3 linked regions of the Alligator mississippiensis genome follow. The protein of the gene in region 3 interacts with the protein of the main gene of each other region in a biochemical or structural test. Links are inferred from orthologs where the notes say so. Each region holds a gene or a part of one and is shown on either strand. Other genes may lie near its edges.

Evidence for each region.
Region 1: the proteins of UBE2A (region 3) and RNF20 form a complex in vitro, tested with the Homo sapiens proteins (4 studies listed by BioGRID, with this or other methods). The link is inferred for Alligator mississippiensis from reciprocal best matches to the Homo sapiens genes UBE2A and RNF20.
Region 2: the proteins of UBE2A (region 3) and RAD18 form a complex in vitro, tested with the Homo sapiens proteins (12 studies listed by BioGRID, with this or other methods). The link is inferred for Alligator mississippiensis from reciprocal best matches to the Homo sapiens genes UBE2A and RAD18.

Annotation. Positions count from the first base shown.
Region 1 is NC_081826.1:162,743,244-162,750,640, forward strand, and holds the start of RNF20 (E3 ubiquitin-protein ligase BRE1A), read right to left. Parts: upstream 3,295-7,397; 5' UTR 3,197-3,294; exon of another isoform or gene 3,186-3,196; intron 2,649-3,185; 5' UTR 2,565-2,648; intron 1-2,564. UniProt on the Homo sapiens protein: Component of the RNF20/40 E3 ubiquitin-protein ligase complex that mediates monoubiquitination of 'Lys-120' of histone H2B (H2BK120ub1).
Region 2 is NC_081835.1:14,537,097-14,544,463, reverse strand, and holds the start of RAD18 (E3 ubiquitin-protein ligase RAD18), read left to right. Parts: upstream 1-4,073; 5' UTR 4,074-4,149; coding exon 4,150-4,203; intron 4,204-5,229; coding exon 5,230-5,311; intron 5,312-7,367. UniProt on the Homo sapiens protein: E3 ubiquitin-protein ligase involved in postreplication repair of UV-damaged DNA. Postreplication repair functions in gap-filling of a daughter strand on replication of damaged DNA.
Region 3 is NC_081831.1:72,656,169-72,664,589, forward strand, and holds the start of UBE2A (ubiquitin-conjugating enzyme E2 A), read right to left. Parts: upstream 3,466-8,421; 5' UTR 3,296-3,465; coding exon 3,252-3,295; intron 3,028-3,251; coding exon 2,947-3,027; intron 2,836-2,946; coding exon 2,810-2,835; intron 1-2,809. UniProt on the Homo sapiens protein: E2 ubiquitin-conjugating enzyme that accepts ubiquitin from the ubiquitin-activating enzyme E1 and transfers it to a E3 ubiquitin-protein ligase. In vitro catalyzes 'Lys-11', as well as 'Lys-48'-linked polyubiquitination.

The sequences.
Region 1 (7,397 bases), on a different chromosome or scaffold from region 3:
AGTCTCTCCTCCTTTCTCTCTCTCTGTGAAGAATTTTGCCATGTGTGTTTCCAGTACCTTTCAGAGGATCATGCTGCCTACTAATTTGGTACAAAATTTAGGTAACAATAATAAAAAAACCTGTAAAACTCAGAGCCCCACGGTTTCTAATTGGGGGCGGGGGAGCGGGGGTTTGCTGGATTTCTTAACAGCCGACACTGCAGCTTCTCAAGCTAAGAAAGGCACTTCAAAATGAGACAGAGGACTGCTTCATGTGCTCTATCCCATCCTTTAAATATAGCTACCGCAAAGTTACAAACCAGTGACTCTGTGAGGTTTGTTGTTTTTTTAAAAATAATCTATGTTAGAGGTGCACTGATACATCGGTCCAATATCAGATTGGTACCGATATAAAGAAAATTGTGTATACATCGGGCTGATATTTTGGCCAATAAACACCCGTGTTGTGTGCAGCTGCAATGCAGCATGGAGCAGAGCTGGCAGCATGGAGCGCTGCTTCCAGCTGATAAGTTGGAAGGGGCATGGGGAGGGAAGGGGCATGGGAAGGGGGCAGATCAACGGCCCACTGCAGTGAGGGAGGGGACAGGTGCTGCCCAGCCAGGGGGCAGAGGGGGGTGGCTCCCACAGCTGCTTGCACTGGGGGGGGGGGGGGGGGGGGGGGGGGGGGGGGGGGGCATTTGCCCCTGGATGTTCGCGGCGCGGGATGGGCTGCAACTGTGGGATGGAGCTGGAGCCGGCACTATGCAGGGCTCTTCTCGCCAGAGGCTGGGCTCAGAGAGGGCTCAAGCACTGCTAGGAGGAGACTGCAGCCACCCCAAATTTTGCTGCAGCTTTGTTTCCAGCCCTGTGCCGCTGTCCAGCTCAGCCACTGCTTTTCCCAGTGCTTGGGTGGAGGCGGGGCATTCAGCTGCGACTGCACTGGCCACTGGGCAGCAGTGAGGGGCTGGGAGTGGAGATGCGGTGAAATCTGGGGTGGCTACAGCCTCCTCCCAGTGACACCGGAGCCTGCTCCAAGCCCAGCGGCAAGAAAAGCCCCATGAAGCACCATCTCCACCCCGCAGCTGCAGCCTGCCCCATGCCGTGCCTATCTGGGGTCACACGCCCCCTGCCTTCCTGGGGTACAAGCAGTGGCAGGAGCTGCCCCCCCCACAAGCCGCACCTCTATCCTGCCACCCCCCCCGCCCTGGCTGGGCAGAGCCTGCCCCTACCCCCTCCCTCACCGCGGGGGGCGTTGATCTGCAACCCCTCCTGCCATGCCCCTTCCCTCCTCCCCTCCCTTTCCACCACAATGGACTGACCAGCTGATGGCAGCTGCATCAGAAATTGGACTGGTATCGGCTGATATGCCTCCTTAAATATCGGCTATCAGTATCAGCCCCCAAAATCTCTATTGGTGCACCTCTACCATATGTATGTAGGCATGTATGAGGGTACACATAAACATTTACATGTGTATACACATATGTATATACGCATTCACACATTTTAGTAATATAGGTGCATATAGGTGTGTATACATGCATATGTACATGTACACAAGCATCTGTATATACACACAGGAACTTTTGTTTTTAAAAATCGATATATGTATGCATGCACATACATGTGAGCATGTGTAAACACACACGTTCTTTTAATCTATATGTATAGGTGTGGGTATACACATAAATACGTGTATCCTCGCATACAAATACATATACATACCCATGCTCTTTTTAATCTATATGCATTTACATACGGATACATACATACATGTATACACACATACGCATAAATGTATACACTAGAGGTGCACCAATGCATTGGTCCAATATCAGATTGGCACGGATATAAAGAAAATTGTCTTTATCAGAAATCAGCCTCATATGGCAGATAATTTGGCTGATAAATGGCCTGTGCCTGCGTGGCTGCAGGGCAGCACATAGGCGGCGAGAAGCACAGCCCGGCAGCTTGAAGAGCAGTGTCCAGCTGGTAAGTCTGGTATGGTGGAAGGGGAGGGAGGAATGGAAGGGGCATGGTGGGGGGGCAAATCAAGGCCCCCTGCGATGAGGGAGGGAGTGGAGCTGAGACAGGGACAGGGGCTGGGGCAGGGAAGGTGTGGGACGGAGCCGTGGCTCATCCAGGGGGCACAGGGAGGGGGCTCCCGCTGCTCGTCCAGGAGGGCACGGGGGGGCAAGCATGCCCCTGGATCTGTGCGGGGCAAGCAGGGCCAGGGCTGCGCCACTCTGTGTTCATGGCAGGTGGCAGCAGCACTGGGAGCAGGGGCTTTGGCAAATTTTGGGGTGGCTGCAGTGCTCCCTGTATCCCTGCCCTCAGTGCCGCCTGCCCCGACTGCCGTCTGGTAGTCCCGGCCCTGACCACCCCGCACAGATCTGGGGCACATGCCCCCCACCCCAATGCCCTCCCCTGGATGAGTGGCGGAAGTAGCAGCAGAAGCCGCCACCACAGCTGTGTCCCACACCCACCCTGCTCTGGCTGAGCCCCGGCCTCACTCCTCCCTCACCACAGGGGGCCTTGATCTGTCCCTCCCCTGTCCCCGTCCCCGTCCACCACAACAGACTTACCAGGTGGATGCTGTTCTTCAGGCTGCTGGGTTGGTATCGGAAATCAGATCGGTATCGGCCGCAAACATCTCTATCGGTGCATCCCTAGTATACAGACATTGTTAACAATGAATATGCATTTATGTATACGTATGTGTACACAATTTATTGATAAATATAATATATACCTATATCTATATATACAAACACCTGTGTATACATATGTATAGATATTATTTTTAATAATCAATATGCATTTATGCATATGCATATACATTAACACATGTATACATACATGTACACGTGCATATATATGTGTCTATACACATTATTTTTAATAATCAATGTGCACCAATGTATATGTATGTATGTACACACACCCTGCCCCCCGCCCCCTCCCTCCAGGCCTACAACTCGCGGGGGTGGGGGTGGGGCGCTGGGCCCCCCTGAAGCCAACGCTCCCCCCTCCTGGAGGCTGCCCCCCTCCCCCGCCGGGCCGAGCCGAGCCCCCAGCGCTGCCCCTCCCCCCGGGCAGCCGCGCGCAGGGAGCACCCGCAGCCCCCAACGTCCCCCAGGGCGGACCCCGCCCCTGCGCGTGGGGGGAGCTCCGGCCCTAGCCCCGGCCAATCCCCCGTGCCGCACCCCGAGCTCACCGCCGCCCGGCGCTGCGCCTCCCCTCTGGCCTTCTACCCCTGACCCAGCCGGAAGCGGTCAGTGACAGCGGCTCCGCCAATCAGCGGCCCACTGCGCAGGTCGTCACCCCGAAGGCGGTGCCCTCACTAAATATGGCTACCGCACCGCTTTGCTTTCTAGGCTCCTGAAGCCATGGCGCCGTGACGCACCCTGGGCGTGCCTTTCCTGTGGATGGTCCGGAGCGGCTATGCTCCGTGCCCTTACTTGACATGGCGACTGCCTCCCGTTGTTTTCTAAGGGGTTGACGCTGGCAGGAAGGGAAAGGGTGGCTGCCGCCCTTCCTCTGCGTGGGCGGAAGTGGCGGAGAGGAAAGGGTTGAGGCGAGGCCCGAGGACTCCTGTGGCACCAGCGCTGCGTGCCTGCGGAGCGCCACCTGTAGGAAGAACAGGGGCCCGGGGGGTCCTTTGGTGGCTGCATCGGCAGTGCTCAAGAAAACCCTCACAAATCAAAGCAGCCCGGTTGCACGGTGGAGCTGTGGTCAGCAGGTGGCACTGGCCGTGTTGCCCCCTGAGCCAGCCCTGCCGCAATGGGCAGCACGGTCCTTGCAGGCGTTGCGTTGCCAGGGGTGAAAACCAAAAGCTGGGCAGCGTTTGCAGTCCATGCAGCTAATGATAGAGGGGAGAAGAGGATAGGGAACCAGCCTAGAATCGTGCCGTGACGGCGAGCGAGTCACTTCCCTCAGTTCCCCTCTGCAGGGTGTCATAGTGGTCTGGAGATTGTGTAGCCCAAGCCCAGGCTCAAGGCAGCAGATTCATTCCTGCTGTTAAAAACATAAGGTTTAATATGCAGGAGCTCAGACGCACCCTGGTAATGCCAGAAGGTTTAATATGTATTAGCCTGGGAATTAGGAATATATACAGTGTTGATATACTTACTGCAGCTAATCTGGGAGAGAGGATTTGTCATCCAAATCTGAACTAATTGTTCTTTAAAATCTGCTCTCACTGGCCTCTTGATTATTCCAAGTCCCAGTGCCCATACCACGCCTAGTCACGTGTGCAGTGCCATACTCCCGAGTGTATTATACAGGGCCCAGAAGAATGAGTACCAAACTACACTTTAAAAAAAATCCTGCTTAGCCATAAAATGACACCACCCTTGTCAAAGCCCTGTATTTCAGCCTGTGACCTCCGACAACAGCAATTCCAAAGATTGATTATATGATCTATGAAAAAATATTTCCTTTTGTGTGTTCTGAAGTGCCTTACTCTTCAGTTAATTGAGAACTAAACTTATTTCCACATTGTGGACCACATAAGACTGGAGGGCTGGTCACTTTTTTACCGTACTTTTCATAGCCTTAAATATTTCAGTGATTCCTTTACTTCATCTCCTTTCAAAACTAAACAATTCTAGTTTTTTGTAGTCTCTGCTCATTGTCATGACCCAAAGGTCTGATTTTTTTTGTGTGTGCTTCGGCACTAAGAATTATCCCCGCAGGTATACCGCTTCGTTACACGGAGGAGTTCTGCTGCGCAGAGAACCCGCATGCAGGGAAGTGTTCCCGCCACTTTGCAGCGATCTTTGCAGGGTGCATTTCCTTTGGAGCACAGAAATGCACCGTGCAAAGGTTTCCCGCTCGTGGTATGCAAATTTGTGCCCCGCAATTGGCTAGTTCTAAATTATTCACACATGGCGGCTAGCGATTGGCCTGCTAGCCGTATAAGAGGCTTGAGCAGTTTCTGCCCAAGCCGAAGAGGACTTTGCATCCATCTTGTGGGGATTCTGGGTGTGTGTGGCAGGGTAATAGAAACCCTGTGTGTCGCTCAGAGGAGTTTGGCGGCCTGATCCACCGCCCACCTCTTCCCGTCTTCGAACGAAGCCTACTATAAGATGTAACGACGAGTTTAATGCGTGCTTGTCCTGGACATCCGGAGTTTGTCATGTTCTGTCTGCATGGAGCCTTGCAACCTCCACGTGTGTTCGTGTTTTTTGTTGTAACCACAACTCAAGCAAGTTCTCAGCCTACACCACGACCATCTCGGTGTAAGTAAAATAATCTTAAAATCAACCGTTACGTGTCTGTGCCTAATTCTAGCTCGGCGCCCGCCCTCTCCGACCCGGCCTGCCCGGGCTGCTGGCCACAGCCTGCGTGCAGAGCAACGTAAGCGACCCGGGGTCAGACCCGGCGCGCACACTCATGTGAAAATCCCATGGAGTGTTGCCCATTTTTTAATCCTTTTAGCTCTGCCTTTCTTTCAGAGCAACAAACCCAGCACACCTGGGAAGAGCACTTGTGTTCAGTGTCATTAGAATACAATCTGGTTTGCAGTCTGATGACAGACAGGCTTTATAATTGCTATTTTATAGTGGGCAGATCTCATAAAGATCACATTATGCTTTCATACCCTTAAAGTGTAGAGGCTCCATTTAAGATTTAGAGTCAGCTAAAAGAGCCCCCAATTTATACTGTTTGTACCTTTTGTGCCTGACAAAAAAGTACACATGGGAAAGCTGTACACAAGAAAGATTTAGGTACAGACAGTTTTGAAAACAAAGAGATAATTGGTGAAAAGGCTGAGCTCATCATAAATCAAGACAAAGAGTCTGATGCTGCCACAAAATCAGGATTTGAATGATGTGTCTTCATTTAGGTACTGTTTCAACATAGCATTTAAGTACATACTTAATAAGCAAGAGGTGAGCATTTTCTCGGATGATATTTTTATTGGACCAACTGCATGGTTGAAATAAAGTTCGACAAGCTTTTGAATGCATTTAAGTCCTGTTTATATCATAATATTTATGCGTATGCCTAATGTTTAGGAATGTAAGATATACAATGTGAAGTAGCTTCTGGGTCTTTGAGCCCTGTCCTTTGCTATGGTAGACAACTACATCATATAATCTCATTTATATATTCATCAAGCTCCATCTTAAAAGCTATTATATTTCTTGCCCCTCCTATGCCAACTAGAAGGCTGTTCCAGAACTTCATTCCTCTTATGATGAGAAATAGTTCTCAGATGCACATTGCTGTATCAGAGCTACTACATTATGGTGCTTTTGCAATTAAACACATAATAAAATGCAGAGCATACTGTAATTTACGGAACCCCCTCCCACCCCCCAAAAAATCTGTTGTGTAAAAAAAAAAAAAAAAAAAATGAATGGCAAATGCTTTACAAGTAGGAACTAGGTCAAGATCCACTTTTCATTAAAACACTGCAAGATTTCTGCATTTCTAAATATTGTGCCAACTGTGCAGCCACAGAAACTGGCACAAGAAGCAAAGGGGGGGGGTCCCACTTTTATATATAACATCATAGGAGTTAGGGTCACAAGCCAATGCCAAAGGGAGGGAAAAGGTAAATAGACATTAACACTGTGGTACATACACTCAGCACCTTAATTTCCCGCCCCCACGCACACACCACTGGAGGTGTCCCCAAACCAGCCTTTAGTCCCCAGAGTGCTCAAACAGCAGGCTGCACTTGTTCTCAAGTCTGAGGCCAGCTCCTTCAGTCCGCAGCCCTGGCTAACCGAGCCAGTGAGATCTACAGTCCCACTATGCATCCCCAGTGTCCAGCAACCAAGCATAGCCCTCTCACAGCTCTCTGCTTCTCTTCTGGCCACCCCCTGCTTCCTCTTCCTTTTCACTTTGTCCTCCAGCCCCTGGGAAGTTTCTGGGGGTTGAAGTCCACATTAACAGTCAACAGAGCTCTGCAGAAGCCTTGCTTCTTGACAGTCTTAAAGGAAGATGGTTAAATATGTTATCTTAACACAATGGTAAAGGTGTGTCTGTCTTTCATGAACTAGGCTGATTTGGACAAGACTAGCTGCAGAGGCACTATAGTATGAACTTCAGTGGATCACAAGAGATCATGTAGTCTAAACCCCTGTGCGTAGGCAAAATCAGATTTACCAAGATTGCCTTGACATTTACTTAGCCTCTTCTTCAAATCATCCAATAAACAAGACTCCAGGATATCCACTGATACACAATGATGCTCAACCTCGTTGTCCAGTGGGCTAGATGTGCAGTGCCTGGTCTCTCCACAGGCTGGCTTTCACTAGTGGTCCTGATCCGGCACCCAGAGAGGGTTGCAGTGGGACCCCATCTGGCTCGTAGAAGGGAGCAGGGGGCAGCCTGATGCTGATCCAACCATGCAGGGAAGGAGACTTGACCCTAACACAACCCAGCTCCATGGGAGAAGGGGC
Region 2 (7,367 bases), on a different chromosome or scaffold from region 3:
TCACCGATAAGGTAACTTGGGATATGTGAGCTCCACAGTTTGCAGGAAAAGGAAGGGATTTACCTTTCACAGCTCATCAAAAGAATGAAAATATGGTTATCGTCTCATAGTGGTTCTTTATACTGTATTGGGTCATCCCCTTTGTATCTTGGTTAAATGAAAAGATTTGCCAGCTTGGAAACTGAATGAGCTGAGCGTCTAGAGACCTGCACATTGTTGACACTTCTTTTTTAGAAAAAGTTTCTGAATTTTTAAGTAACGTTCCATGATACTGCCTCAAAATGCAAGAGTCTAGTCACGGCATCCACTCTGGTTACTCTGCTGAATCTGAGACGAGCACTGGATTAATTTATCAAGATATTTGCAAACAAGAGAGACAAATGACTTGATCTTCTGTGCTAGGCTTAAAGCAACAGTGGAGAAAGTACTTGCTTACACATCATTAATTGTGAAACAAATGCCTTTGTAATTTTTCCCTGTGCATGCTTACTTGTAAGTTGGAAACTTTATGAGAACAACATAAAAGTAAATATTATAATACAAAATGCATGTGTAATGTGTGCAGTTACACTATAGGGGGCCTATAATTTCATGTCACAAAAAGGCAGAAAATATCAATGACACTTTGGAGCTGCATTTTTTTGGCTTATTTCAATAAGCCACTGAGGGAAAGACAAGAAGAAAAAAAAAAGGGGGAAAGGAGAGTTTTTTAAGAGGAAAAGGAGAATAAAGGAAATGATAATAATAAAATAGGGGACATTTGGGAAGAATAGATTTGATAAGGATGGATTGTAGGCCTATGTAAAGCATTTGGACTGGGAGCAGACATTATAAGGAGCAAATTCACTGTGTGGCCTTCCCCAAATATATAATTTTAATTTTGTTTATGTCTTACATTTGTTCTAACATACATATTAAAAGTCATAGTACTATATACAATGCACAGTGTAATCCAATTCTGTGACTAGCCTCAGGAGTGAAGAAAGACTCTGCACTTGCTCAAACCTAATGGAAGTAATGCTTATTAAATTCAGAACAATCCAGGGTCCCTGCCACATGTTACATATATTACACAATTAACAATTAAATCGCACAATAAATTTAGACTGATCATGAGTCCAAAATTAAGACTGGCCACACATACAAAGTAATCATCATGCCATAAAAATGTCTATTCAACTGTAAAAAGGGGCAACCAGGTACAAAGTTAGTGCTTGAAACTGTGTAATAACTCTATGGCTCCTGCTACATATATTACACAATTAACTGGTAAATTGTGCAATAAATGTACACTGGATACATGTGCAAAGTAATTATTACATAATTGACTGGTTAATTGAACAATAATGTTAGACCAGGCACATATGCAAAGTAATAAGGCACCTGCTATGCTACATATATTATCCAATTAACTGGTGAATCGCACAATATACGTAGACCTGCCACACATGCAAAAGTAAGACTGACCACAAGTGCAAAGTAATTATCACGCAACTAACTGGTTAATCGGATGGAAGTTAATAAACTGACTTCCATTCAGCTTTAACCTGAGGGCCCTAAGCTGAACTTGCTGTCAGTGATATGATATTAGTAGCCTTGAAATGGCCTATTGAAGGCTTCTCATAGGAGCCCCTGACTAGCTTTGTTAATTTTATGGCTTCAAACAGCTCCCCCACACCCACTGATCTACTTTGCCAGCTGCCTTCTCTTTACTCTACCGGTGCCCCTTTTTGGGCCTTGCTGCATGTTCAGATTAAAGGTGGATAAGAAACCAGCTATAGAGCTGTTACACATTTTCAAGCACTTTGTTGCTGGTTGGCTCTCTTAATAGCTAGAAAGTAATTTTTACAGTGTGATAATCACTTTGCACCTGTGGCCAGTCTAAATGTATTGCATGCTTCACCAGATAATTGCATAGTAATTATTTTGCACATGTGGCCGGTCTCCCCTTGCATGTGTGGCTGGCCTAAATCTATTGCACGATTTGCCAGTGAATGGTGCAATATATGTAACGTGTAGCAGAGGCCTTTATTTTCAGTGATGGGGAGGAGGTTTCAATGTCAAAGTAGACAGTGGGATGGATGGACGCACCAGAGGCTTGGGCACTTCATCTGTACGCAGGTAAGTGGCCTGTGTGAGAGGGGGAGAGGCAGGGCAACGTGAGGCCTGGGCACCGTTGGATTTTTGTGCCAATGGTGCACTGAAGGTAAAGCATACGAATGCAAGAAACTGCAGCTGGCTGCACCCACCCGCGGTGCCTCTAGCCCAGTGGGTCTCAACTGTTGTAGACCTCAGGCACCCCTCAGACTGTGTTCACCTGCATTGCCAGGTCTTAACTATGAAATTATTGTACTGGAAGCTCAAAAGTATCATATTTCCATTCTCATTAAAAAACTAGGGGACTGTGGCATCGATACCGATCAGGCCGCAGTTGGAGTACTGTGTTCAGTTCTGGGTGCTGCACTTCAGGAGGGATGTGGACAGCATCCCTGAAGGGTCCAGAGGAGGCCACTCGCATGATCAGGGGACAGCAGGGCAGGCCGTACGAGGAGAGGCTATGGGACCTGAACCTGTTCAGCCTCCATAAGAGAAGGCTGTGCGGGGATCTAGTGGCCTGTTACAGACTAGTCAGGGGGGACCAGCAGGCATTGGGGGAGTCCCTGTTCCCCTGAGCACTACCAGGAGTGACTAGAAATAACAGTCACAAGCTGGCAGAGGGTAGATACAGGCTAGATATCAGGAGGTACTACTTCACTGTCAGGGCGGCTAGGATCTGGAACCAACTTCCAAGAGAAGTGGTGCTGGCTCCTACCCTGGGGGTCTTTAAGAGGAGGTTAGATGAACACCTTGCCGGGGTCGTTTGACCCCAGTACTCTTTCCTGCCATGGCAGGGGGTCGGACTTGATGATCTGCTCAGGTCCCTTCCGACCCCGACCAACTATGAAACTGTAATAGCTGAAAAATGGAAAAAATGCAAATAACTCTTTTTCTTTACTTTATATTGCTCACTTGAAGCAGTGAGTGAGCGAGAACTGGGTCATCAAAGTGGAAGTGTTTTTTTTTTATTTTGAGGCAAGCCGTCATAAGAAAGCACTGACGGCCAACCCCGAAGTTGGCGAAGACTCCCTCAGAGCGACTCGGGTTTGGCACGTGCTGTGTCAACTCCCCGCCTTGACAGGTCTCGTACATTTTGAAAGAGGAATCGGGACTCATGGGAGAGGTGATATCTTTTATTAGACAAACTAGATATTTGCAAAAAAAAAAAAAAAATTGTTAAATATTGTTTAATTTAAAAATACATTTTGAATGCTTTTACTCTCCTACTACCTTTGAAATGACCTCACAAATATGATTATTGATAATATTATCATTATAATCATTATAATTATAATTAAGTTAATTATGATACTATCCTTGAAATGACGACACAAACATGATAATTACTGGTAATTATGATAATTATCATACTGATCATTATGATATTATCATGATGATCATTATAATTATAATTATAATTATAATTATGATACTATCCTTGAAATGACCGCACAAACATGATAATTATTGGTAATTATGATAATTCTCATACTGATCATTATGATATTATCATTATGAGCAGTATGATCATTGTAATGATGAGAATTATGATACTATCTTTGAAATGCCCGCACAAATATTATAATTATTGATAATAATCTTATCATTATGATCATTATAATTGTAAAAATTATGATACTATCTTTGAAATTACCGCACAAATATAATTATTGATAATTATGATAATCATTATGATAATGGTGATAATGATCACTATGATCAGTATGATCATTATAAGTATGAGAATTATGATACTGTCCTTGAAATGACCGCACAGATATAGTAATTATTGACAACCCCGCGGCGGGGAGGTCGCCGCATCTCCCGCCTTGGCGGCCCCGCCCCCCCAGAACCCCGCCCTCCGCGGGGAGATGGCACGTGACGTCAGGCGTGGGGGAGACGGGGGAAACCGCGAGCTCCGGCGGGCGAACTACATCTCCCAGCGGCCCCCGCGGCGCCGACCCGGAAGTGTGACGCACTGCGGGCGCGCGATTCGGACGCCGGTTGGGCTGTTCCCGCGGTGCCACCGCTGCCCCCGCCGGTCCGCCCGCCATGGCTCTGGCGCTGCTCGAGCCGCGCTGGCCGGAGCGGCTGTCGCCGCTGAAGGTGGGTGCGGGGACGGCCGGGGGCAGGGCGGCAGCAGGGAGGCAGCGGGAAACCCCGGGGCGCTGGGCCCGGCGCGGGCTCTCCGTGGCCCGCGCGCTGCAGGTGGGGGCGGGGCGGGAGAAGGGCTTTCTCTGAGCAGCCTCCAGGGTGGAGACTGCCCGCCCCTGGGTTACCACCCTGCGAGTTTTGCACGATATCCAAATTAAACCTCCCTTGCTGCTACTTGAGATCATCGCTCCTCGTCCTGTCATCTGTCACCTCTGAGGACAGCCCAGCGCCATCCTCTTTCTACCCCTGCAGGGAGTTGCAAGGTGTCACTAAATCCCGCCCTCAGTCATTTCTCCACACTCAATAACCCCACTTCCCTCCTCTTCTCCTCAGCAGTCGTGTGCCCCAGCCCCCGAACTGTTTTATAGCCCCCCCGGTCCCGAAGGACGACAGACAGACCTGCTGTTTCCATTGAACACCCCCACGTAACCTGTGCATAGGCTCACGGACAGGGTTGGCAGGGGCCGCGGGAGGTTGCATCTCATCCGAGCCCTGCTCAAAGCAGGAGCAGCCCCAGTTTCCGTCTAACGGAGATGAGACCCCACCACCTGCAGCTCCCCGGCAGCCCCCGACCGTTTGCAGTCGTGACACATGCTGGGGGCAGTGGGCGACCGACCTGTTCAACTTCTTTTGCATCCCATGAGGGGGCAGGGTTAATTGCGTGTGTACATAAATCAATGTATATGGAGAATACATTCGTGCAGATTGCTTCTCCCCCTTATATCTTGGCTCCACTGTATGTACACTCTGCAGTCCGTTTTGCTTGCATCTGCCCGTGACGTGCTAGGGGCACGCGGTAGGGACCTTGCCAGAATGGCTGCAATGATATAAAGAGACTGGACCAGGCATATCAGGGCCCGAGCAATGATACAGGTGCAGGGATGGACTTTTGTCTGGAGGTACAAACAGGTGTTGTCCTGAAGCAATGCTTTCAGTGGTGCTTTTGGTGACGCCAGTGATAATTTGTTCCTGTTGCAGGCAGTGGACGACTTGCTGCGTTGTGGGATATGCTTTGAGTACTTCAATATTGCAATGATCATCCCACAATGTTCACACAACTGTGAGTACAGGACAGTTTCATATGAATGTGCATGTATTATGCTAGTGTTTGACTTCTGAATTTTGCTCCATGATCAGATTGGTACTGGGGCAGAGGGGGCGGGTGGGCTTGCCTTCCTCCTGTCGCAGGGGCATGGCCCATGGCCTGGGATCTCAAGCATATACTGACAGTATTTCATAGAAGCACGTCTTTAGCTGCCCTGGTTCCCCTGCTTTATCTGTGACAGGTTAGGGGGTGAGGTCTGTGTTGTGTCATGGGTGACGGCAGTCTTACGTAGAATTTAGATGATGGATTGTATGGGATGGTTTGGATGGGGATGATCCTACCTCAGGCAGGGGGTTGGATTAGATAATCTCTGGGGGTCTGTTCCAGCCCTTCTTCTCTGTGATTCTCTCTGACTTTTATTTCACGCCCTCATCTGTCTTACTACCTTCTTAGCCTCTCTCTGTATAAAGGAGAACACAGGTTACTTACTGCTGGACTGTACCAGTTGTCGTAGGACTAACATTATAGTGTGTGCTGGGTCGCGACAAATGCCTGCCACTGACCTAGTAGTTACAGTTTCCAGCCACTTGACATTGACCAGATGCCAAATGTGATGCGACTGAATTGGGCCCAAAGTGTGTGGTTAATCAGTATATACAGAGAATACATTTGTACAGATTGCTTCTCCCCCTCATTTTTCTCCATTGTGTTTAAAGTCTATAGTAAATTTTGCTTGCATCTGTCCATGACATGCTAGGGCAGGAGCGGGCAATTATTTCAGCTGGAGGGTTGCTTAACAAGTTTTGGTGAGCTGTCAAGGGTTGCAAGGTTAGCCCTGCCCCTTGACAGGTGCCCCACCCCCTAATTCAGCGTTTTCCAACCTCTTTCACCCCACAGCACACTTACCTAAATAAAAAAGCACCACGGCACACCAGATGTGGAGTTGGGGTAGTGCATAGCCAGCCGGACGCTGACCTGCGGGTGGAGGGAAGGGCATGTGGCCAGCTGGATGGCGTTTTGGGTTGGAACTACACCCGCTGGCTGGCTGGAGCCACGCTCCCCATCTGTCTGTGTCCGCAGCAGCAGCAGCAGGCGGGGGGCATAGCTCCAGCCCAAAATGCCGTGGCACATCTGGACGTGCCTGATAGCGCACCAGTGTGCCACGGCACACCGGTTGGGAAACGTTGCCCTAATCGCCATCTTGGGACTGGAAGCCCCTAACCCCTGACATTTGACACCAGAAGTCATCCATATTGTCTTCTCCCCCCCACCCACCCTCCCTCCCATGGAAGTAATCCTTCTGGGAGGGGGGGTTGCCATCTTGGAACCAGAAAAAAAAAAATTGTATACTCAAATCAAACTACTATAACACATTTTAATTTTATTTTAAAAAATATTTTGGCCCTGATTTATGTGCTTTTGCATAGTATATAAAAAGGTGGTTGCATAATAGTTCAAATAAAGTCTTACTCTTCTACGTTGTGTGTAGAGGGGCATGGGATGTGGTCGGTGGGTGTGTGTGTGGGATTTGTGGGGGGTGTGGGGTTTCTGAAGGGGTATGGGTATGTGTGCCTCCTCCCCCATGGTGTACAGCCTCCGTCACTGACAGCAGCAGTAGCAGGTAGAAGCACAGAGCCTGCCCATTTTGATGGTGCATGACCTCTGAAAGTCTGCCTCCTGCTGGCTTTCAGAAGAGCAGTTGCAGGCCGGTAATAATTTTTTGGAGGAGCCCAATGGGCCGGATAGAATGGCCTGGCAGGCTGGATCCATATTTTGCCCACCCCTGTGCTAAGGGCACATTGTAGGGATACCTTGTCAGAATGGTTCCAATGAGATAGACTTATTCCAGTCTCCCTATCAGGGCCAGAGCAATGATACAGGTGGAGGGATCACTTATAATCCATTTAAACTCACCAGAGCTTAGGGATGTGCTGTTGTTTTACTCCAGTTAGCTCAAACCCTCCTGTCACTTATCCCAGTGATGTGCAGTATGAAATCTCACCAGAGGTTTCCTCATAAAAATTCCTCTTTTTCAATGTTTCACATGCAAAATTATGATCTGACTTCTTTG
Region 3 (8,421 bases):
CTGCAGTTGGGAAATCAAAGTCCTGTCCTGACCAACTTCCTTACTCCATCAAAATGACGATGATTCAGAACCTAGCCCAAGCAACTGGTAAAGTTGAATACCAGATTTAGCAGGACTGTTACCTATTCCAGTTACCAACACTTTACTGATGGAATACTTGATGACTGGAACCAGACTCCAGTGTATTCTCTGGTGACAGAGATAATGGTATTTCCCAAATACAGTGAAAGCACAGTACAGGAATGTTTAGCATAAAGCAGACAGGTCCCAAAATGAATACAAACCTCTCAACAGTGAACAGCACAGTAGAGCTTCAGATCACAAATTGAGGCCCTTCAAAAACTAGGGTCATTCAGAATTAAGGAGGCCCCAAGCAATGAAAAACCATACGTCACAATTCCATTAGAGCATGGCTACTTGCCAAGGCCTTCTCCATATACAACCATATTCCAGTGAAGGCATAAAATTATTCAAATCTATCTAAGACCTCAGGTGATCTCAAATTACTGTACCCTTACCAGGCCAATACTGTTGCAGAAACAGTGGCTCCAGAAAGATAAAATCATACCAGGTACAGATACACATGCATGAATGCATTCTTCCTAATGTCCATTAAATGTAGTACCTCCAATGTGAGGTAGTGAAGTGTACATTAGGCTGCCCTAATATGCAGTACTGCAAGTGCACACTTTAAAGACACTTAATGCATAGTAGCCTATTTTACTGCACATTAGCGATTAGCGTGGTGGGTTTTTTTACATGACACTTTCATGCACAGTAAAAAAAGGCTACTGTGCATTAAGACATGTGTAGACATACCCACCAAGTGCCTAATTTTTGACCTACAGAAAAGAGGTCCCCCTAGTTTGACTGGCACAGCCGGGGGGGGCGGGTCATCTTCTTTTAGCATGGGGCATGGTCCTTTACCTAGGATCTTCTGGGCACATACATAAGCTTACTTCCTATTATTGCAAGGGTAATGAGGACACTGACAATGCTTTCATCCATAGCATTTCACAGGCTGCTTTTGGCATCTCAAAAATTTTGTTCCTTTGCTTGTAGGCAACCAAGTGAAGGGAGCAATTTGGGAAATTCCTTTACTTAAGGAGAATCTACAAATGCAGGGGACCAGACACAACAGGACTGGCAGGAGCCTCCTGAGCTACGTTTCTAGCCCTCTAACTTTAGAGTGTGGCACAGAGCACAAGGTAAAAGGCACCAGCAAACTATTCAAGTGGGGCACACATCTCCAGATGCCAACACATACAATTCTAGGCAGCAAGATAAAAAAAAGCTGTGCTGTAACAAAAAACAAAAAAAAAAAAACAAAAAAAAAAAAAAAAAAACCCCAACAAACAAACAAGCAATTTTATGCCCTGCTCATTTTTCCTGCCTTGGGTATTAAGAAACCCAGTACACAACCTGCGCCAGAACACCTGCCCAAGAATGTTAGCCGAGGAACAACCCAACAGACAAGAGGAATAACCTACTGCTAAAGCACACAGGAAATATACTCCAGCTACCAGGAGTGCACGTAGCCTTGGATTCAAGCTGATTATGGTTTGAATGCCTAGAACCTTAGGGATTTAAGATCAAGGCATGAGGGGAGGGCAGGGAAGAGAAATCAATACTTAAAAGCCCTAGATAGCATTAAATATACCAGCACTTTCAAAGCTGATCTTCCACAGATATATTGAAGGTGGTAGATCTTCTTGTCAAAATCCTTTGTTACTAAACATCTCAGTAACCCCAACACTGAACTACAAAATGAGACACAAAAAAAATAACAACTCTCAAGATCGATACCATTAATTCACAGGAGCCAGTTTCTCTTCCTCCAAGCTGTGATCCATTTCTGGGATGGCTGTGCACCGTAAAGACAAGACCCGTCTCATCACCCAGACCTGTTTATACTAGTATATTAAGGCCCAAGAAACCAAAGAGAACTTCTGACCTCAAACAATCCCACAAACAAAGGAAAGAGCCACAAGCACCAGGCACTGCAGGAAAAAAAAAGAGAAGAGACCAGCCACTAAGCAGGAGAGCTGGAGGTAGTCGTGTAGTTTTGTGGCTAACTAAGGACAAAAAAAAAGCAACTAATTAGAGTGTTCTTGGGTCTGAGGTACTTTAAAAGGGAAAGCATGAGCTCAGGAAGGCAGAGCCCTCAAGCCAAACAGTTGCTCCCTCAGAGGAAGAAACAGTTTTAGAGCTAGGGAGTCTTACCATGCAATTCATGATGAAAGCATAAGACTCAACACTAATTGTAGTCCTATACTGACACCTTTACAGAATAACTATTTCTAATTGTTTCTTTGCTTAGGTCTAGCAAGTTCAGGATAGATACTGGATCCTTCATACAGCATCAGAAGTGCAAACTTCAGAGAAAATAGTGAGCAAAGCTACAAACAATGACAAAGTTAGGGACAAATGTATCACGGGAAGTTTTTTTTTGTTTTTTTTTTTTTAGAAGGAGCGTAGGTACTTTCAGTTTTAAAAACTGAAAGTAGCTACAACTAGACTAAGGTAAGGAACCCTTAGTTCCACATTTAGGAAGTCAGACTTGGGAGGAGGGAGGGGAATAAGGAAGGAAGGTTTGCAGCGGTCAGGGACGTAGCACCACAGAGCAGTTTTAAGGACAGAAGTTTTGGCAGGGAGGTGGGCAGTGGTTGTGCTTCCCGGGGCTGCGGAGGTCCTAAGCTGACACCTGTTGCAGGGACCCAGAAGCAGGTCACACTGGGAAAAAGAACAAAAAAAACCAACCCTCCAAAAACCAAACCAAACCAAACCCCAGTAGCTTAGCGGCACTTACCATCCTCAAAGGGAGTCCCCTCGGGCCTGGAAGAGAAGGGGGAAGGGGTGAGCACAGAGGAAGGGTGAGCGCAGCGCAGGGGTGCCCCTCCGCCCGCCCCGCCCGCAGGGGGCGCCAGCCCGCGCATGCGCACTCACCCGAAGATGACGGCGTTCCACACCATGATGTTGTTCTCGGAGGGGGCGCCGCTCACGCCGGCCGGGGGGTCCTCCTGCAGCCTGCGGGCACGGGCGTGTCAGCGTGGCCAAGCTCCGCCCCCCGGGCGGGCCGCAGCTGGCGTAGCCCCCGGGAGTCACCCCCAGCAGTCAGCGTAACCCCGGCCCCCCTCCCTGCGCAAGCGGCGTGGCCTAACGCTACGCAAGCGGCGCAGGGCCGCTGCTCCTGCCGCCATGTTGGCCGGCCCCCTCCTCTCCCGGCCTCCCTCCGCCGCCGGCCTCGTTACCTCTTGAAGTCCCGCATGAGGCGCCTCCGGGCCGGCGTGGACATGGCGGGCTCAGGGTGACGAATCGCTCATACACTAGCCCCGGGAGCGAAGGAGCGGGCGCTCAGGGACACTAGGACGACGGCGGCGGCAGCTGGCTCCGACTAAGGCGGCGGCGGCGGGGGCTGCCGAGCGATACCGGGTCGTACCACTGCGCCGGCTCGCGGGGGGGAGGCCGAGACGGCGGCTCACTCCTCCCGGGCGATCCCGGGCTGTACCACTGCCGCGGGGAGGAGGAACCGCACGCGAGTGAACCCTGCCGGACCCTACCACCGCGGTGGAGAAGCGGGAGGCGGTGTCTAAAGGAATCCGGGATGTACCAAGTACCGCGGCGGAGGAGGGGCAGCAGGAAGTGAGACGGCACCACTGACGTCAGCGGAGAGGGCGTGTTCTTGCCATTGTTCCCGCCCTGGGCGTGGCTGGGGGCGTGGCCTTGCACCTGCTGCCTCAGGTGAGGGCAGGACAAGGGATCTCAGTGTGTTTAAGGCGGGAGCGAAGGTGGAGGGCAGCCTCACCCCATGAGTCACGGGAATGAAGCCACTTTGTTATCCCTGACCTGTCCCCCAAGGTGCTCCACGCACCCCAGGAGTTTCTGCTTCCAGCCGGGAGCCTTGCACATGTCTTAGAAAAATTAAAGGGGGGGCTAAAAACTGCCTGGGAGGGAGCACCACCGCCTCCCTTTGCCACGGTGACCCACAGCCACCCTCACCAACACCCCTTGTTTCTAGCCCAAAATTGCCGAGCTTTAGCCTCCAGCCGTTGGATCCGCTTTGTCCTTGTCTGCTCCATCAAAAAGCCCACGATCAAAGTTTTAGGCAGGCCTTGGCAGTTGTAAACTGGGATCAAGGCACCCCTGAGCCCTCCGACAAGCTCTTGGGTTCTTTGCAAGGTTTTCCAGTGTTTTAATCGTTCTGCTGAACCCTCCCCAATTTATCAACTGGAATACAGCTGCAGGGGGAACATGACCTGACAATTAGGAACAAAGAGGCTGCCTGCTCAGCTATCGATCTGATGGAGGATGTGTTTATGGCAGTAGGAGGCTGGGGAAAGCCTCACTGTCCATCAGGGTGAGGTGGCCTCCTACCGGGACGGGTGGGGCACTGGGATGTCTGCCTCCCCTGCGTCCTCTGCTGGAAACCCGAGACACGCGTTACTTGAATAATGTCCAGATCTTGCTAGATCAGAGATGCAGAAACAGTGATTGTGCAGATGTGAATCTTCACAGTCTTTTGTTTCCTCTGCGTGCATCTGGTGAGGGTGTGTCCTGATGTGTAAGAGGCAGGATCTCCTAGGTTATGTTCCGAGTGGGACTCGTGCTAAATAGTTTTTTCCAGTGAAATTAATTATTTGCCTTTCACACTAGGCTCCATTTTCTTTTTGTAAACCCCAAAATCAGTTTACCCAACAGGGCATTCTCTTTACCCATACAGTAGGTAGGAGTAATCACTTTGGTACAAATATCAGCAGTTTGCTAATTATGTTTGTTAATGTTACAAGGTGGTGAAACATTCTCAATACAGAAAAGGATCAGAATATCATATGCTGGCATATTCAGGCAAAATTAGATTGGGGGATGTCAGCAACCAATGTGATATGGCTGTGAAAAAGACAAATGATGTCTTAGAATGTATGACTTGGTGCAGTAGATATAAAGGAAAGTATTAAAGCTGCTGAACAAGGCACCAGTGAGACATCATCTAGAACATGATGTAAAATTCTGATCATGCTTGCTGAAGAAAGATGAATTCAGACTGGAGCAGGAACAGAGAAGGATTACTAGAATGGCAGGGACTGGTGAACCTATTTTATGAGAGAAGATTAAAAGACCTTGTCATATTTAGTCTACTGAATTGTAGGCTGATACTGGTGATGTCACTGGGAAGATGCTGCAAGCTGAGGTGTTGCCTGGGCTGGTGTTTCTTTGAAACCTGTATCCCATTAATTATTTTCACCACAGAAAAATTGCTTTCTATATGAGTTCTGACAATAATGACAAATTCTCGCCTCCCTTTGAGGATTTTTTTTTATCTGCATGGCTTGTGTCTGGAAAAACCATGTTTCTCTTTGATCCCTTGACTTGCCTGTCATTTCACCCTTTTGCTCTTCATGTTTCCTTTAGGGAGATACTCTTCCCTCCACATCAGAGACCTTTCTCCCTCTATGTTGTGACAGAACTTCAAACTTAAGAGTCAAGCCCTTACTTAGCCTACAGAAGCTGGGAATTGAGAGATGATCTCTCAATTAAACTTTCTCGTTAGAGCCAAAGGATCTGCAGAAGCTTGCATGCAGCTCCATAATGAAACTTGTTTTAGTTCTTTTCATTCATGTATGTCTGTGTTTACTGAACCTGGTGATCTCTACACAAGAGATACAGGCATTCCTTGTCAATGGCATTATCTTTCCCCTAGAATCACATCCAGTTGGGAAGGACCTCATGCCAGCCATCAGAGAAGAGGGTCTACTGCTTCTTGCCAGGAGAACAGCATAACCCATGCTGCTGTTCCCATGTAGAAACAGGAACCTTAGAACTTCCTCTTGGCCCATTTATTGTCTAATATCCTTCCAGCTAATCAGATCCATCTTTGGGGCAGAATGTCAAGAGCCGAGCTTTCTGCTGACGGTTGGAGTCCGTCTGTCCAAGTCCAACTGTTGTGGGACGTCTGATCCCGACGCTCCACCCCTGTTGCTGCATTACGTGATTCCAGCTGGAATGGGACTTTCTGACCCCTATGTTTGACCCCTTCTGCTACAGGGACATTACCCCTGCTTGTGTCAGGAAGGCGGAGGAGTTTATATTTATGGAGACAGAACAAGGTTTTATTCTGTAGGTATCAGACTTTTTAACAGTTTAATGGAGATGGGTGGTCTTGCTTATGGGAAGTGAGTCCTTTCATGCTTTTAGGATTGCCAGGCTGACTTCTATACAACTACTTGGGTGCCAGGGCTTCTGAAATGACTATCTGAGCATGAAATTTTAAATGTATGTGGATGCTTTTTTTTTCATCTGGTTGTAAACTGGACTTTCTTGTAGTGGCAAGAGTAGCTTTTGTAATCTTATGTTAGAGCTGTGAGTTTCTTACCTGCTTGGGGGGAGGAAGGAGCGTGGTACATCTTCTCGTTACACCCACATCAGACTATAAATGAGGGATGAAAAAGAGCATCATCTCTAGTATATGGTGTATAGCCTTCCTTATCTTCATTACAAGGATTCAGTCCTAGGAAATTACAAGTCTGAGTCGTCTGTGTTCAACTGTGATCTGAATGGCCTGGGTTTGCTTCAAAGCGGCACAGGGTATGCTAGGGCATATAGGTTTAATGGGCCTCATTTCTGCACTGCAGATGAAAGTGACTGAAAACTATAACTATTTAATTTAGATACCTGTAATTAAGCATTTGGCTCTTACTTCACTGAAAAACAATGAGCAATCTGCCCAGCACAGCCTCGTAGCTCCCTAGAGTTACTAGCGACTTGGGGGTGTTTATTATCATAGCTAATAACTGTAAAGATAAGGATTTGTAAGCAAGGAGTAATTTCACTCACTCCTCCTGGCTGAATGGCGCTTGCCAGACCACTGGGCCATAATCCCACTCTATTTTTCAGGGAGGGCTGCCGACTCCTACACTTCTACTCCTCCCTGAAAGCCTTACATTAAGTTAATTGGACTTATTTATTATTGACTGTGGAGGGAAATTATTTTGGCTCCATTTGGATAAAATTTAGTTCTTTGTGCCAAATTCAGATCTCGAATAAGTCCATCTACACTCATTTAATGAACGTGCATTTAGTGACATGAGGTCTTAAGTTAGCCTTTGATGACTCTTGTTGACATAAAATCTATGTCTTATGTTCTCTTGAACTTCAAAATAGAGTCTGATTACATTATCTGAATGTTTCCAAGTTTCGTATAAGTATAAATTACAGTCATCCATAAATAGCTGTTGCAGCAGACACAGTGTACAAAAAGTAAAATAAAATAGAAATGAGCTCTGGTTTCTTGGAAATCACTTTTAGCATCTTATAGGACATCCAAAGAATGGACTTTTACCTTCTGTCTCAGTGAAGTTAAATTAGTTCCACAACCAGTCAACGACAGCCATATTAGCAGATAATTTAAGGTATATATTGTGTACAGGAGCCATGGCAATGGATGCATAATAAATTATTCTACAAATAAATGTATACCAAGTTAAACCTTTAAAATTGCCTCCTTCTGGAATACTTTACAGAATTTAATTTAATATATGCTATCAGAAACAGTCAGTAGGTCATATTCCCAGACCCAAACTGATGGCTCAATCTTTCCAGGTGCCAAGTCTCCCAACTGGATGGAATGGACTTCACAGATTCTTACACTTCTCATTGTACTTTCGGATTCGTAGAACTTGACATTCATTTGATTCTGCATAGGAGATTACAGTATTACCAGTATTAACTCTACAAGAGTTAATACAATAGGCACTCTTTATAAGGAAGCATATTTCCAAGATGGCAGGGGATAAAAGTCAATATGAAATTGCCAAATTATTCAGCTCTTTGTATACCTCCATTTTTCCAGATAAGTATTGGGTAAAATCACTTTTTGTTCTTACTTTATCACTCAGCTGTTTGCACTCCATTTATATCTTGAAGAATATGTTGAATGTGCAATGCCAAGAACGGTTTCTTCTATTCTTTGCATTCAGAATGTTTAGAATTATGAAGAGTGCTCATGGGAAATTACAAAATAGGGTTATATGAACAAAAAAACTTGTTCAGTCATTTCTGTAAAATCCAGTGCATATTGCCCAGCTATGACAGAAGATCTACAATGTGCAAAGAACTCCCACAGTGTAATGCACACAAGTAAACTCCTGCATCCATGGAGAGGGATTTTCAGCTGTTTTAGGGTCCACCTGAGCATAATAGTGTAGGATTTGTTGCTTAAGTTTACACAGGTTGACATTTCAGTGTAGGGCCCACCACACTGTGGAGTTAGAGATTGTCAGGATCCTGAAAAGAATCATGGGGAAGAAGTCCTGGAACTATTACAAGACTACTGGATATAAGGATATGTAGATACAGTGGTCCTACCTCCTCCTTACACCAGACATCTGCTTGTAATGAATTGGCTGGAGTCAGTGTTGTGTTGTA